Linked DNA regions of Tamandua tetradactyla. The protein of the gene in region 1 purifies or fractionates together with the protein of each later gene. This does not show direct contact. Links are inferred from orthologs where the notes say so. Each region holds a gene or a part of one and is shown in the gene's direction. Other genes may lie near its edges.

Region 1 (7,139 bases):
GCCCGGCCCTCTGTGCCCCGTGCCTCCCCCATATCCCCCCTGCCCAGCCCCCAGGACTCTGTGCCTCCCCCACATCCCCCCTGCCCGGCCCCCAGTGCCCCGTGCCTCCCCCACATCCCCCCTGCCCGGCCCCCAGTGCCCCGTGCCTCCCCCACATCCCCCCTGCCCAGCCCCCAGGACTCTGTGCCTCCCCCACATCCCCCCAGACTGGCCCCCAGCGCCCCGTGCCTCCCCCACATCCCTCCTGCCCAGCCCCCAGGACTCTGTGCCTCCCCCACACACCCCCAGCCTGGCCCCCTGTGCCCCAGAGCCCCGTACCCACCCCCATCCCCCTGCCCGGCCCCCACCCCTGCGGCTTTACCGGATGTCGAAGGCCCTCACGTGGGGGTGGGCGCTGGCCACGCGGATTGTGAGGAACTGCACGGGCAGGTTGGAGTCTGGTGAGAGCTCATGCTGCCGCGACCCGGTCACGGTCAGGTGCACGTCCTGCTGCTGGGCCACATGGACCCGGTAGGTAGTCACCTTCATCACCCAGGTGTCCGTCACGACAACCCGGGCGCCCGGGGCCCCAGTGGCAAACTTGTCGATGCGCCGGAATTCGGTGTTGACGGAGGCAGCGACATCCCGCCAGCCCGAGTGCGGGAGAGCGTACAGCGCCAGGGTGCAGGCCAGCGGGTGCCGGGCCCAGCGGTTGCGGGCCCAGTGGCAGATCACAGCGCAGGCCGCAGCAGGCAAGGTCAGCGCCAGCAGGAGGAAGAGTCTCCAGGCCTCTGGGGCCCGGCCAGGGGCGTACAGCCACTCCTCTGAAGCAGCAAAGCACATGCCCACATAGTAGCCTAAAGGACGAGGCGGGCATCAGCGGGTACAGGGCTGGCCAGGCCATGCCCACCTTCCTACGGGGTCCCTGTGCCCAGCCCTGGTCAGCTCCCAGGGCAAGGCTGAGGGCAGTGGGCCTCTCTGCCTCTCACCTCTGTGGCCAGGCCTAGCTCAGCCTTTGCTCACAGCAGCGGCACGATAAGTTAGAAAAAAATGCTTTTAATTTACTTCAGTTTTACATAAACAATATCCAAGCACAAGAGAAAAAAGAGAAATCCAGAAAAGCAAAAACAAATGTGATGGCCTGGCTTCGTCTTCCACCCAAATACGATGGCTGGCATGGGCCCAGCTAGGATGAGCTCCAGAAAACTGCTGGGAGCCTCAGCGACTCTCCCCAGGGAAAGAGCTCTCTGGGGACCACACCCCTGAGCCCCAAAGAAGCAGGCTGAGGGCCCAGGCACTGTGAGCTCCCCAGGATCTGGCAGGTGGGGCTCAGGCCGAGGGAGTGTAGCTCCAGTTTGCACGGTCTCCCAGCTGCCTCCTGCTTTGTGTCTCTCTCCTGGTCTGGCTGAGGATGGGGGAGGTCACACACCCCACAGGGACTCAGGGGCAGAAAGGGGTGGGAGGCAGCAAGCCTGGGGCTTCCTTTCTACCAGGCACCCACACACCCCTGCTGCTGCCTCCAGACCCAGGAGCCCTCTCGGCCCAGCCTCGTTCTCCCAAGTCCCCCACTCCTGCCTCGACCTCCCACCAGACCTGGTTCTGCTCATGTCCTTGGACCCTGCACGTCTCGGGAGGCCCCCTGCCTGGCACCCCAGCACAGTCCCCTGGCCCTCTGGCCCATCCTTTCCCCGGCTGGTGCAGCAGCCTTGTGGAGGCCCAGGCTGCCTTGGGTCCCTGCCAAGCACCACCCGTCCCCTCAGCTGACAACGCTGGCGTTTCCGGTCTGGGACCAGGAATCTCTCAACCCCCATCTCTGCCTGCTCTCCCTGTACCCATCTTCCAAGGCCAAGAACAACTCCACCTTCTCGAGGGAACCCTCCAACCCAACTCTTCCGATGGACTCAGCTAGTACTATGGGTTCCCAGAAGCCCTTCACCTGGAACTGCCCCCACATACAAACAGCAGATGCCCACGGCCACATGGGACCCCCAGCAGCAGCGGCAGTTCACGGTCTGTCCCAGGCAGGGCCAAAGCACCCTCTCCCCACAGCAATGCTGGGGCTTCTGCCACTTGCAAGCTGTGCAGCTCTTCAGCTGCTCCCGGCCAGACAGATGCCTTTCTCCGGCCCTCGGAGCAGGGCCCTGCAGGGCAGACCCCACTTGCTCCCCCTGCCGCAAGGACTGAGGCCAGTGAGTCTGGCTTCTTAGGGGGCACGGCCACCTCTCCCAGCACAGGGTCCACCGTGGGGGGATGACCTGGGGCACTCCACCCAGCACAACGCTGTCCTGTCCGGGATTGCCGCACAACCAACTCCTCCTCAGTGAGGACCAAGCCCTGGCCAAGAAGACGAGCGGACGCAGCGACACGACTTGAGGCCTTCCTCCCCCACCCTATGCGTGCAAGCCTTCACCGGCAGCCAGGAGAGCCGCAGGACCCGAGGCTCCGAGTCCCCAGGCCTCACGCCTTCCTCTGCACCCGCCCCACGCTGCCCTCCCAACTCCAACGCCCAAGAGGGAGACAGCCACCCTGGTGAAGCCACGTTAGGGCCTTGGGTACCCGCCCCCCAACGTGTCCCCAGGATGTGCTCAACGTACAGGTCTACAGCCCAGGACTGGTACAGGCAGGCTGAGCCCCCAACCTGCGCCCTCCCCACACCGGCCAGGCTGACCTGACCCTAAGCAGGACACCAAGGACCTGTGCAGGGAGAGTAGGGCTGACCCCAAGACTCAGAGCCTATCGACAGAATTGGCCAAACACTGCTCAGCCAGTCCAGGGCAGTGTGCCTGGAACCCTGGGGGGTTGTGCGGTTACAGCCCCAACCCAGGCCAAGCACCCTGCCACCAAGAGGGCCCACTGGTGAGCAGCACCTCAACTTGGAAGGGCCGTAGTGGCCCGAGGTGCCTGTTGGACCATGGCCGGGACTAGAGCCTGCTAGTGACTCTCCATCTCAGGGCATTCCCAGCGACTGGTGGCACAGCAGCCAGGCAGGCCCGGGAGTCGGTGGGGTTGGGATCTGGGGGCTTCGGTAGGCACAAAGTGTCTTGGCCGTAAAGGGGGTCTCCACGGGAATGGGGTCTGGAGGGGTGGGATGCGGTCTGGGGCAGAAACAGGAACCTCAATAGGATGGGTCTCAGGCAGAGATGGGGTGTATCAGATAGAAACAGGGTCTTCAGCGAGGACTGGGTGTCTCTGAGAGGATCTCACTGGGGAGAGGGATCTGGGTGGGGAAGCGGTTCTAGGTGGAGACAGATAGGGACCTCAAGCGGGGACCTCAAGCAGGGACCTGTGTGGGGCGGGGATGGAGGGGGTGTCTCTCGGGTGGGGATGCTCTCGGGGGGTCCCGGGTCTGCGTGGGCCCCCGGCCCGCCTCACCGAGCGGCAGCAGTGAGTGGCACAGCAGCGTGGCGGCCGTGCGGCGCAGGTGGTAGGACACGAAGGCGGCGTCCTCGCTGCCCAGCCAGCCCGACAGCAGGTTCTGCACGGTGAGCCCGGCCGAGTGGAACTCGTTGGGCGTGAACACGAAGCACACGGCGAAGACCAGGTAGGCCAGGGTGAAGGTGACCTCGGGGCTGTCCATCGTGCCGCCGCCGGGAAGCCGCTCGAGAGAGGCTCGCCGGTCCCACCTCCGGCCCCGGCGCGGGGAAGAGGCGCGAGCGTCCCGGCCCCGGCCCGGAGCGCTGGACGAGGCCGCCGCTGGCCGGTCGCGGGGCGCTCTGGGAAATGGAGTTCCGATCCCGCCGGCCGCGGGGCACTCTGGGAGGCGGAGTCCCGGCCGCGGGGCGCTCTGGGAGGCGGAGTCCCGGCCGCGGGGCGCTCTGGGAGGCCGAGTCCCGGCCGCGGGGCGCTCTGGGAAGCGGAGTCCCCGAGCCCGGCCCAAAGGCGCAGGCCGCCCGCACGTTCTCCGCGAGGATGCAGCCCCTCCCCGCGACCTGCCGTGGAAGAGGCGCTACAACTGGCCCCATTTCACAGCTGAGAAAACTGAAGACCGAGCAAACGGCTCCCAGATCGCCCCCGTCCGCTGCGCATGCGAGTCTCCGCCCCATCCGGCCCAGGATCGAAGCGCCCCCTCGCCCGGAAGTGGAACGCGTGCGCGAGGGGCGGGGCCGGCGCGGCGCGGCCTTCCATTGGCTACTGACTGCCCCCGGCGCGCTCTGACTGGCTGCGCGGAGTCAACCGTCGGTATTTGAATCGGCGGGCGCGGCGGACTTAGCGGCCTGAGTGGGTTTCCGGCGGCGGCGCGGCTCCTCCCTGTACTCCCCTCTCTTCTCCCGGCCGCGACGGGGCGGGTCCGGAGCTCGGCGGACAGGTAGGCGGCCGCCGCCCCTCGGCTCGACCCAGTCTACGCCCTCCCAGGCCCCGGGCCTCTGCCGGGTCGGCCCCGCCGCCTGCGACCTCGGGGGAGTCAGGCTGGCTGAGGCGACCTGGGGGTGGGCGAGCGCGGACTGGGCAGCGGCGGCTCCCACAGCCCTGCCCCTCCCCAGGCGCGGCCCCCCCGGCACCTGGACCCTCCCCTCCGGTCCCCACCCGCCCCCCCCCGGCCCGCGGCCGCACTCGGCTGGCGGAAGCAGGGGTGGGAGGGACCTGCCGGGGCTGGGGAGCGTCCCCCGCTGCTCCCTCGAGGACCCCACCTGCTCTCCGCCCGCGGCGGGCCCCGCGCGGCCACCCGCGAGCAGCCTTCGTCCCTCCAGCTCCTGCCCGCTTCTCTGGCCCCCTCTGCGGCAGCGCTTCCCCAGTCGCTGCTGCCAGCACTGCCTCTCCAGCTCCTGCTCGCTCTCTGGCCCGCTCCAATCAGGCTTTTGCCACCGCGTCTCAGAGACACTTCCTCACCTTGTCTCCAGCGGACCGCGTGCTGGCGCATCCCACCCGGGTCTCGGTCCTTGTCCTGCCAAGCCCACCGGCTTGTTCCTCTCCGGAACGCTCTTTTCACCGGTGCCCCGCTCCTCTGGGTCTCCTTTGCACCTCTCCCTTCCCCACCTCCACGCAGTCGGCCCCCGGGTGCAGCCACAGGCCTCGCCTCGCTCCAGCTTTATCCCCAGTGGTGGCCACCACCCGGACCCAGTCCCTGGCTGGCACAGGACCCCGCAGTAACTACTTCTCTGGACTAGCACAGCTTCTAACTGCAGGTTCCAGATGCCCCTGTGGCTCCCCAGACACCCTCCCTACACCCCCACAGTTCAGCTCCCCCGCACCCATTAACCCAGGCTAGACTCGGAGAATCATCTGTGACTTTTCCCTGCCCTCATGTGTCCACGTAGACCCACTGACCAAGCCCAGGCCCAGCCTTGTCTCCTGGACACCTTGACTGCTTCTGGTTGCCTGTGTTCCCTCTTCCCCCTCACAGCCCCTCTGCTATGTAACAGAAGGGTCTTCTGAAGCCCAGCAGTGATATTGCCCGACCCCATGCCCCCTCATGTCCCACGTGGTGGACCCCACTCTCCTCCAACCACGCTTCCAGGCTACTCCTTGCCCCTCTGCTCAGCCACCCTGGCCTTCTTGTTCTTCAGAATGCAGCCCATCCTGCATTCTGGACTGGTGGCTGCCTCATCGGACCTTTCTCTGGTTCCACTCTTCTCCACCACCACACTCAACTCTAGCAACACCTACCTTAGGAACGCCCTCAGGGCCTGGGAGCAGCAAAGGCCCATTGTGGAACTTGCTGAACCTGACTTGAGGCCCCTTAGCAAGGCTCCTTAGCAATTTACCAGATCCTTCTGGACAGCCTCCTGGGCTTCAGGCCCCTCTGCTGACCCTCGCCTGCCCTCCCCCCTTTCCAGCCAGGGGCAGGGGAGCACGAACTATGGCTCACTGTTCAGCATTTCTCTTCTCTGCTGACTTGACACCTGGGCTCTGTCCCCTAAGCTGAGACACAAAACCCCCACACCCCACACAGCCTAGGCTGCACCCTGTTTCTTGACCACCTGAGTCAGGCTCTGGGGAGACTAAGGCAGCCTCAGCTGTGAATATTCTCCCAGGCCAGTACTTGGTCTTCTAACTTATTACCTAACAAAACAGCCCAGGATCACAGGTGATTCCACAAGCTCAGTCTTCCTCTTCTCTCCGGTTGAAGGCCCTCTGGGCTCTCGGTCTCGTGGGAGTCAAGGCCTCCTGAGACCAGACGGGGACCCTCCAGCGCTCCTGCCCAGCTCACCAAGGACATGCTGTGGGAGGCTGGGTTGGGCAGGCAGCCACGCCTGGCCCAGAAAGGGGACAACCTGTATCACACCCCTGTCTGGATGTGCTGCACCAGTCTTGTTGCCCCCGTGCTGACAGAGGCGTGGTCTGCTTTTCCAGAATGAGTCTGCAGATCTTAAATGATGAAAACGTCACTTGTGACAAAGCCACCGAAATTTGTGACTTCCTCTTTTCACCCCCGGAACTAACCGGAAAGTCGTCTGTCCTTCGTCTGTCACAGAAAGAAAATGTGCCACCCAAGAGCATAGCCAGAGCTATGAAGGCAAGTCAGTCCATCCCCACGGAGTGTGGCCTGTGCCCCCAGGCTGGCATGCTGCTACCACCGAGTCCTGCTGATGGCCGAGAATCATTTAACAGGCATGTGTTCCTTCTCGCTCCCCTGTAGGTAACTTTTCAAACGCCTCTGCGGGATCCACAGACACACAGGATTTTAAGTCCTAGTATGACCAGTAAACTAGAAGCTCCTTTTACTCTGGACGAGACTGTTGGATTGGCAAACTCTCACCGTGACTGGACACAAAGAGATGAGTAAGTGTTGGCCTGTTGTGTGCTGTGGCTCTAACACCATCGACGGGCCTTTGCAGGTGTTTATACGGTGCCCGGGTATGGGGCTTCCGAAGCCCTCTACTTGTGGGAAAGTTAACGGTCAGGTGTTTGGATTGAGTTCAGATTCCATTCTTTCCTCCTGCGATGTGTCTTTGCCAGGTGCTGGGCCTCTGCTCTCATTTCTCCAACTCCTTACGCAGTCCTGAGCCTCTCCCCAGGGAAGCTGTGTTTCTCCTCATCTCCTGTCTCTGCTTGTGACTCAATTCTTGCATGGTCTACACTGAGACATTATTCTTAAAAGGGGCGGGGCTGTGCTTTATATGATCTGTTGGGCGAAGTAAGAGTGAGCTAGGGGTTGGAGTTGAGTCCTGAGGGGTTGAGTTTATTTTAATCAGAGGAAGCTTCTTTGTAGCCCGGCCCGG
Region 2 (7,465 bases), on another chromosome or scaffold:
TCAGTGGGAGAATGTTCGCCCTTCATGTGGGAGACCGGGTTCGATTCCTGGACCATGAACCCCCCCACCCCACCCCACCCCCCAAAAATATGTATATATATATATAGTCACTGTCCTTCTTTGCACCTTGAAAAAACTGTGAAACCTAAGGTAGAAAGATCTCCGAGGCATGAATAGTGACGCTTTCATCCAATCTGGGCCTGAAGAAGACAGAAAGTAAGCGCTGCATAGGAACTTAGAAAAAGGATCTATAAGACGAGATTCTAAGTGCAATGCACCTCATTCAAGAGTCAAACTTTAATTCTCTAATCGCTGTTCAAGGACATGATAAAATAAACGTGGTTGCGTCTGTTTCATGGCAAAGAAACAGTCTATATTTATGTTTTTTCCTTCACATGTGAACATGGCCCCACTGACCCATTTAGTAGGATGTATGATTGGGATGTTTCAATCTTTGTTTTGAAACATTCCCTCACTCCCATAGTTATTTTCCTTACAGACTGCTTCCCCATTAAAATAGCTGGCAGGGGCAGGGAGAGCTCAGCACAGGGAACAGACAGACTTTTCTCTCCAGCCAAGGCTCCAGCTCACAACTTTGGACTCCTTGAAACAGTATTAAAACAGACCCAGACGGTCTAACTGAGTGTAAACCTAAGGCCCCAAGCCGCACAATCTGCTTATTCCATTTAACAGGGCATAAAGCGCCAGGTACTCTCACTTATCCTGCCCTCAGTGGTTTTCCTTCCAGCCTGTAAAGGCCTGTTGACAGCCTGCTGCCAAGGTCCCTATCTCTCCCCTCCACCACCTTCCTTTTTGGGAGGCTGATGCTTCTGTGGCCACAGTTGTTGGTCATCCGGCATTCTTGGAGCTACAGATAGGGAAGCTCCAAAAGGAGAAGGTATTCATTCCTGAATTCAGTCGCGCTTGTTAAATGCAACCAGATGTACGCTCGTGTAAGCCTTTCGGTCTCGGAGGCGAGTGGAGGTAGGAAATCCCAGTCACTTGAAATCTGCACTCATGTCAGCACTGCTATCTCCAGGCCATACTTCAGGAGATGCCTGAACTGAAAGTTGAAAGGGAGATTTCCATCGAGGTTGCTCCTCTCTGGGCTGAAAAGGCAGGTTCCTGTCCCAAGGCAGCAATGCCTTGACCAGAATACCACTTCTGATGAAGATGGACTGAGCACTGTCGCAGTCCTAGCAGGTTTTATAAAAATGTCCGGCATGGTTGGTTATTCCACAGTCACAACATCTGGCATTTGCTTCATGCTTCTGGTTGCGATAATATAAAGTATTCCCTTTGCCCTCTAACGTGCACAAGGGTTTCACTGTCCTCTGAATATTCTCCTTTGGGAGACCCCTAGAACAAAGAAGGCAGACATAACACTAATCGATACATTGATAAATGCTATTTGATGATTATCCTAGACTGCAAAAGATCACTGGTCAGGCAATCTCTGAACACCCAGTATGGGTAAGGCCCCACATGCTCTACCAGCCCCCTCCCACTTTATCTGTCAGACCCATCTCCTGATGCAGACTGCCCACTGCTCCGCTGCGGCTCCAGTGGCCTCACTCTTCTCCACCCTGCTGGCATGTTCCCACCGCGGGGCCTCTGGACAGCTGTTCCCTCTGGCTGGCACTTTCTTCCCCAGATGCAGTCGTGGCTGAAAGTCTTTCCTGATAGGCATCCTCAGTGAAACCTGCTCTGACCACCCTTTTTAAAAATTAGTCTTCCCTACCTCCACTTCCTGATTCCTTTCTGCCTGCTTTATTCTTTTTTTTTCTTTTCCCATTGCACAGATAATCTTCTAACATGCTATATCACTTATTTGTTTGTTGCCTGTCTGCTTCCCCACTTGAGTGTGTGCTCCACGAGGGGAGGGTGGTTTATCGTTCAGGTTTGGTTTGATTTGGCTGGTTTGCTGTTCAAGGGCCTAGAACATTTCCTGCACACATGAGGTACTCAATAAATATTTGTCAAATGAATAAACCAATGAATGAAGTCGAATCAAATGCATACCTCCTACAAGAGCTACTACACCTAGCCCATCCGAGACAAAAATGGATTATGGCATTGTGATGTAAAACTCTCCAGGACCTGGCCTCCACACATCCTGTATCAATCAAAATTCTAGGTTCCCATCACCCTCTCTTTAAGCATACTCTTCAGGTTAGTTCCGGTAAACATGTCAATGGCCAATGACTAAACAAGACTCTGTATTCACAACCCGAAGATTACTGGAACCTTTTTATTCTAATTGGTTTCTGTCTCCTTACCCACATGTGAATCTGTTCTCAACTCCCATAATTTCACTCCCTCTACTCTTCACCTGTGGTCTCATCCACTACCACAATTTCAGCCTTTCATTCTATGGAGGTGATTTTCAAATCTCTATTGCTTGAGTCCTAATGTCTTCTGCCTGCTCCCATTCTGTATTTTTCAGGCCTACTTAGATAACTCCATTTGAACGTGTCATTGGTACCTAAAAGTAAACATTGCTAAAACTAGACTCCTTGCCTTCCCTGACAAATTGGTATCTCCCGACTTCCCACTTCCATTTAGGAAATCACTGCCCTCCCAGTCTCTACACTCAAAACCTGGCATTCTTTTTGACTCATCTACCAAAACTACTTTCACCTTTGTACCTAATCTAGACAATTGCCAAATCCTCCACTATCTCTTTAATCTGTTCTCATTGCCACTGCTATTAGTTCATGTGTCTCCTAATTAGCCTCCCACTTTCCAGCTCTAACTCATTTTAGACAATCAAGCTAATTAATTTTTTAAAGTAGGGTTTGGATTTTGTTACTCCTGCTCAGAAACCTTCAATAGCTCCCCATTGCCTACTAAAAACAGCACACATTCCTTACTCTGGCATTACACGATCCATTCCTAATCTCTACTTCCCAACATGAATGCAGTTCTAAAATCAAACCCACACGTTCATTCCCTTACATACAATACACTTTCTTGTCTCTCCTCTTGCTTGCATTTTTCCTATAACTAGACATGTTCTCCCTCCCCATTCTAATAAAAAAAGTAACATGTCAATGATAAAACAAAAACAAACAAACAAAAACTCAGTCCCATTCCTTTTAAGTTTCTTGCAATTCCAGGAATGTTCTAATCATTTTGGACATGTGCACAAATGCACATACATTTATAACTATACATAAATCATCCCATATATACTTTTCTGCAACGTACCTTTTTCAATTAATAAAATTTGTGTATTTTTCTATATCAGCATGTATAGATTAGCTATATTCTTTTTTTAGTGCTGTATGGCTGGGTCACATTTCATTCCTTTTCCGTGTGAGTATCCTGTTATTGTAGCACCATTTGTTGTTGGTTTCTTTTGGGAAGTTCGTGGGCGGGGAATCACTGGGTCTCCCTCATGGCAGGGGAGAATTCTACCACTGAACCACCCTCGCACACCCACCACATTCTTTTCAACAGTGGTTTAGTGTTCCATTGAATGAAAAAACTATAATTTATGTAGGTAACAAGTTCTCTGTTGATGGATATGTAGTTTCCTATCACAAGCAGTACTGCAGTGTGCATTTTTCTTTGCCTATTTTCTTTAACCTGTGGGATAAAATCTTAACAGTGGTATTACTGGGTCAAAGATTACATACATTTTACATCTTAATATCTGCCAATTGTCCTCCTAAACGTTTGTACCAATTATACTCCCATCATCAGTGAGTTTGAGTGTCTATTTCTCCAAATGGTTGTCAACCCAAGGTTGTTTTCATCTATTTCAACTTGACAGATTTAAAAAAAAAAGTTTTAATTTGCTTTTATCCATCTCCTCTCCAGCTTTCGGCCTGTTGGTAATCGACATATTCTTCAAATCCCGGATTAAAAATACATCCCCTTTATAGATGCTTCATCAAAAAATGTCTTGCTTCATTAAATAACTACAGCTCTCCATTCATATAGTTCCAAATTGCTTTCCTTAAATTATCTAAGCTTCTTATTTTAAAAACAGGAATAGTAAGCATTCGCAGAATGTTTAAGAGTTTATTCAAGGCCTTTCCCAGTTATTTTCAATTAGCTATATTAAATCCTCACCCTAAATTTGCGAGGAAAGCTTCTTTGTCCCCATTTTCCAGACAAGGAAAATGAGCTCCAGAAAGATTTGCTCGGCTGTCATCCCAGAGAAGAAGGCGAGTCCCAGCGCCGCGCCCTGATGCCCCGCCGCACCCAGCTGCCCGTTTCCCTCGCAGCACTTCGCCGCACAATCAGCATGTGGTTAATGAAATGACTGGAAAAAATGTCAGGTGCAAACAGCAGTTTAAGCACGTGAGATTAAAGCCTCGGCCAGGGATGCACAGCTCCACCTGCCCCCTTCGCCCTTCCTCCCGGGACCGCGGGCCGCCTGGAAGGCTAGCGGCCCCTTTAAGGCTGCAGGCGGCGCGTGCCCACAGCTCTTTCAAACGGACCAATAGCAGGGTACGGGGCGGCCCTACAAGGGCCAATAAATGGCGAGAACACTGCGGGGTGTGCGGCGGCGCAAGCGGTTTTGAGCGGCTTCGAGCAGGCCCCAGGGTGCTGGCCCGGCGGAGGTGAGCGAGCGGTGGGCCTCACCCACCCGTCTAGGGCCCGGGGCCCGAGTGCGGCGTGCGCGGAGGGCCCCGAGACACGGGTGCACGCCTCTCCTGCCCCGCGAGCCCGGCGCTGCTGAAGCGGCGAGGCGGGGCGGAGGCCCGGGCGCCCGCGGCTGGGAGGGCGGGGGGCGCGAGCCGCCGAGGCCGAGGCTGGGGTCCGCCGCCCCAGCGCACGGCGGGGCCCGGGGGCGGCGGCTGGGGGCCGCGGGCGAGGCGGGACGGAGGCCCGGGCGCTCGCGGCTGGGAGGGCGGGGGGCGCGAGCCGCCGAGGCCGAGGCTGGGGTCCGCCGCCCCAGCGCACGGCGGGGCCCGGGGGCGGCGGCTGGGGGCCGCGGGCGAGGCTGGGGCGCGCCCGAGGCTGGGGCGCGCCCGGCGCCGAGGTGTTCCGGGGCCGGGCGAGGGGGCCCGCGGCCCGCCCTGCTGTAACGCCCCTCGCGTAGCTGTCGGAGGAATGAATAAGTGAGCGAAAGCCCGTGCGGGCTGTGAGCGGCCCGGTGGCCTCGGAGCGTGACGAGGGCGGCCGTGCTGGGGCCTGGCGCGCACCTGGGCCCCCGCCCCGACTCGAGGTGTGCTGCGATTTTAACGACTCGGTCGGTCACCGCCCCGCTGGCGCGCCGGGCTTTCTGCACCGCGAGGCATCCCCTTTCGGAAGGCGTGGGTAGAGTTCAGGTGGCTGTCCAGCTTTGAGGTTTGGGGGCGCGTTACAGTAGCCAGAGATGTAGGCTAAGCAGGCCTTGCGATTCAAGGTGGGGGTTTGGGAAACCAGGCTTTTACCTTTTTAGCCCTTAGCACTGTTGAGTTAGTTACCCTGCTGTAGTGGTCATTGTGGAATTTAAATGCACCCCGTTTTGTTTGTGGGGTAGAAAGTGACGTTGCCAGAGTGCCTACTGTGTGTTGGAAAACATAGTCGTGTTGGTGAATCTTAATTAGTTCTCTCATTCATCAGTAACAGAGGGTGAGTGGCTTTTGCAGAAGTTGCTCCAAATTTATGCATGGCTCTAATTTAATCTCTTAGGAACCAAGGCATCAAATCTTGGCCCAGAAATGTTGCCTGTCTTATTTCTTATATATAATTATAGTAATTGAAACTCATTTTTAGAAAAGTTGAGCTCCTCTTTTCTCCATTTTCATCTCCCTGGAAAGTCCTTCTTTGACCCAAAGAGTAATTACCAATAATTAAGCTAACAAGCTTTTGAAATTTACGAAGTCATAAAAGATCTGGGCTTTTCTTAAGTGACCAAACAAAATGTAATGTTGCTTTTGTGAAACTTAATATAGAAAAAATGAAATCAATTTATGTTGCCAGCATAAATTAAACCTAGTAGTTAAAGTATTGAGAGAAAAATTAACACAGGTTTTTGAAGTCTTTTTACTTAGGCAGTGGTAAGCAAAGACAGTTGTTAATAATAAATGTTATACTTCATTCTCTTTTAAAATTTGAATCCTCAACTTTGGATTATGAACAGTGGTTTGATAATTCCATCACAGAGATAACCTACAGCTGTCAGCTCAATTTTTGAAATAAGGTTTTAATTGTAGTAAATTTAAGTACCCTTAATATTAGAAATAGCATTCTAGGTTTGGGGGAAGCTCTTAGAGATAATAAACATCTTGAACAATGCCTTTGGGTGTTGTTTTAAATCTTGGGGTTGTTTATTCTTTTTTTTTTTTCTCAATTTAATGGGGTCTCCTTTATTCATTCAGTCAGTCAACAGATATTAATGTATCTACTGCACATCAAACATTGTACTAGGTTCTAGAAATACCTGGGTGAACCAGAAAAGGACAAATCTCCAGACCTAAAAGAATTTCACAATTTAATCTCTCCAACAGTATACTGTAGCAAATTTTAGTTTTTATGATCCCTGTAGCCCACCTCTGGGTTTTGAATAAAATAAATGCTCAAATACTTTAACCAGCAGTAGCTAACATTTATTGAATGCTGAATGGGTGCCATACTTATCTTTTTTAATCCATGTAACAATATTTTACAGATAAGGAAATTTAGACTTAGAAAGGCTATGCTCCCCCCCCTTGTTTTTAAACTTCTATCATACATGTGGTGAAATATGAATGAATGACAGGGCATGGTAGTTTTTTGAGGGAAGATGCAAGCAGTTCAAGATAACACTGATCACAATATGAGAGATGGGCAGCTGTGAGAGTGGGGGAGCTGAATATAAAGAATGTGAAATTGAGGTTTTGATCTAATTATGATTCATTGACTCCTGGTGGCCAGTGTTGAAGAGGTTTGAGGTTCTTAAGGGATTTTAGTATTCTTCCCTCTGGAGTGCAGAATATGTTACTTGCCTTCGCATTTGCTGTTTTCAGCGTGGAACTTACACTGGACCCCTATCTAAGTCTGTCTTTAAGTTATAGGCTCCACTCAGCTCTCAACTTATATGTCATCTCTTTAAAGAGGCATTCTCTAATCTCCCAATTAGAGAAGCCATCTTAGTCACTCTTCTTCATTTTCCTTTTCCATTATTTCATAGCATTTATTGTTTGCTTATATACTGTGTGATTTCCTCACAGAACGTAAGTACTATGAAAGCATAGTACAGGTTTTTCTATCTTGTGATCACAATGCCTTAAACAATGCCTGGAAGAAAACGCTCAAAAAATATTTGTTGAGCAAAACTTTTCAAAACTGGTATAGTGTTCTTTGTAGTGAAAAGGACAGTATATAACTAACCAGTTGGCTGTGTTACTGTGTCTTTGGATTTAAAGCAGCATCAGCAGACTAATTTGGAAAATCTTTTAGAAAACATAGTTTTGTATTTGTGTCAGCTGGGTGAGGGGAGATCTGGTTCCCCACCCCCACCTTTTTTAACATTTTTTATTTGTGA

Evidence for each region. Proteins that work in one complex are often made in the same cells at the same time.
Region 2: the proteins of TACC3 (region 1) and CKAP5 purify together in Homo sapiens (co-immunoprecipitation; 5 studies listed by BioGRID and IntAct, with this or other methods). This does not show direct contact. The link is inferred for Tamandua tetradactyla from reciprocal best matches to the Homo sapiens genes TACC3 and CKAP5.

The regions. Positions count from the first base shown.
Region 1 is NC_135345.1:1,404,971-1,412,109, forward strand, and holds the start of TACC3 (transforming acidic coiled-coil-containing protein 3), read left to right. Parts: upstream 1-4,124; 5' UTR 4,125-4,285; intron 4,286-6,270; 5' UTR 6,271-6,271; coding exon 6,272-6,433; intron 6,434-6,556; coding exon 6,557-6,699; intron 6,700-7,139. Other genes in the region: TMEM129 (E3 ubiquitin-protein ligase TM129), read right to left, coding at 362-836, 3,352-3,556. UniProt on the Homo sapiens protein: Plays a role in the microtubule-dependent coupling of the nucleus and the centrosome. Involved in the processes that regulate centrosome-mediated interkinetic nuclear migration (INM) of neural progenitors.
Region 2 is NC_135334.1:123,573,603-123,581,067, reverse strand, and holds the start of CKAP5 (cytoskeleton-associated protein 5), read left to right. Parts: upstream 1-4,450; 5' UTR 4,451-4,574; intron 4,575-5,263; exon of another isoform or gene 5,264-5,285; intron 5,286-7,465. UniProt on the Homo sapiens protein: Binds to the plus end of microtubules and regulates microtubule dynamics and microtubule organization. Acts as a processive microtubule polymerase. Promotes cytoplasmic microtubule nucleation and elongation. Plays a major role in organizing spindle poles.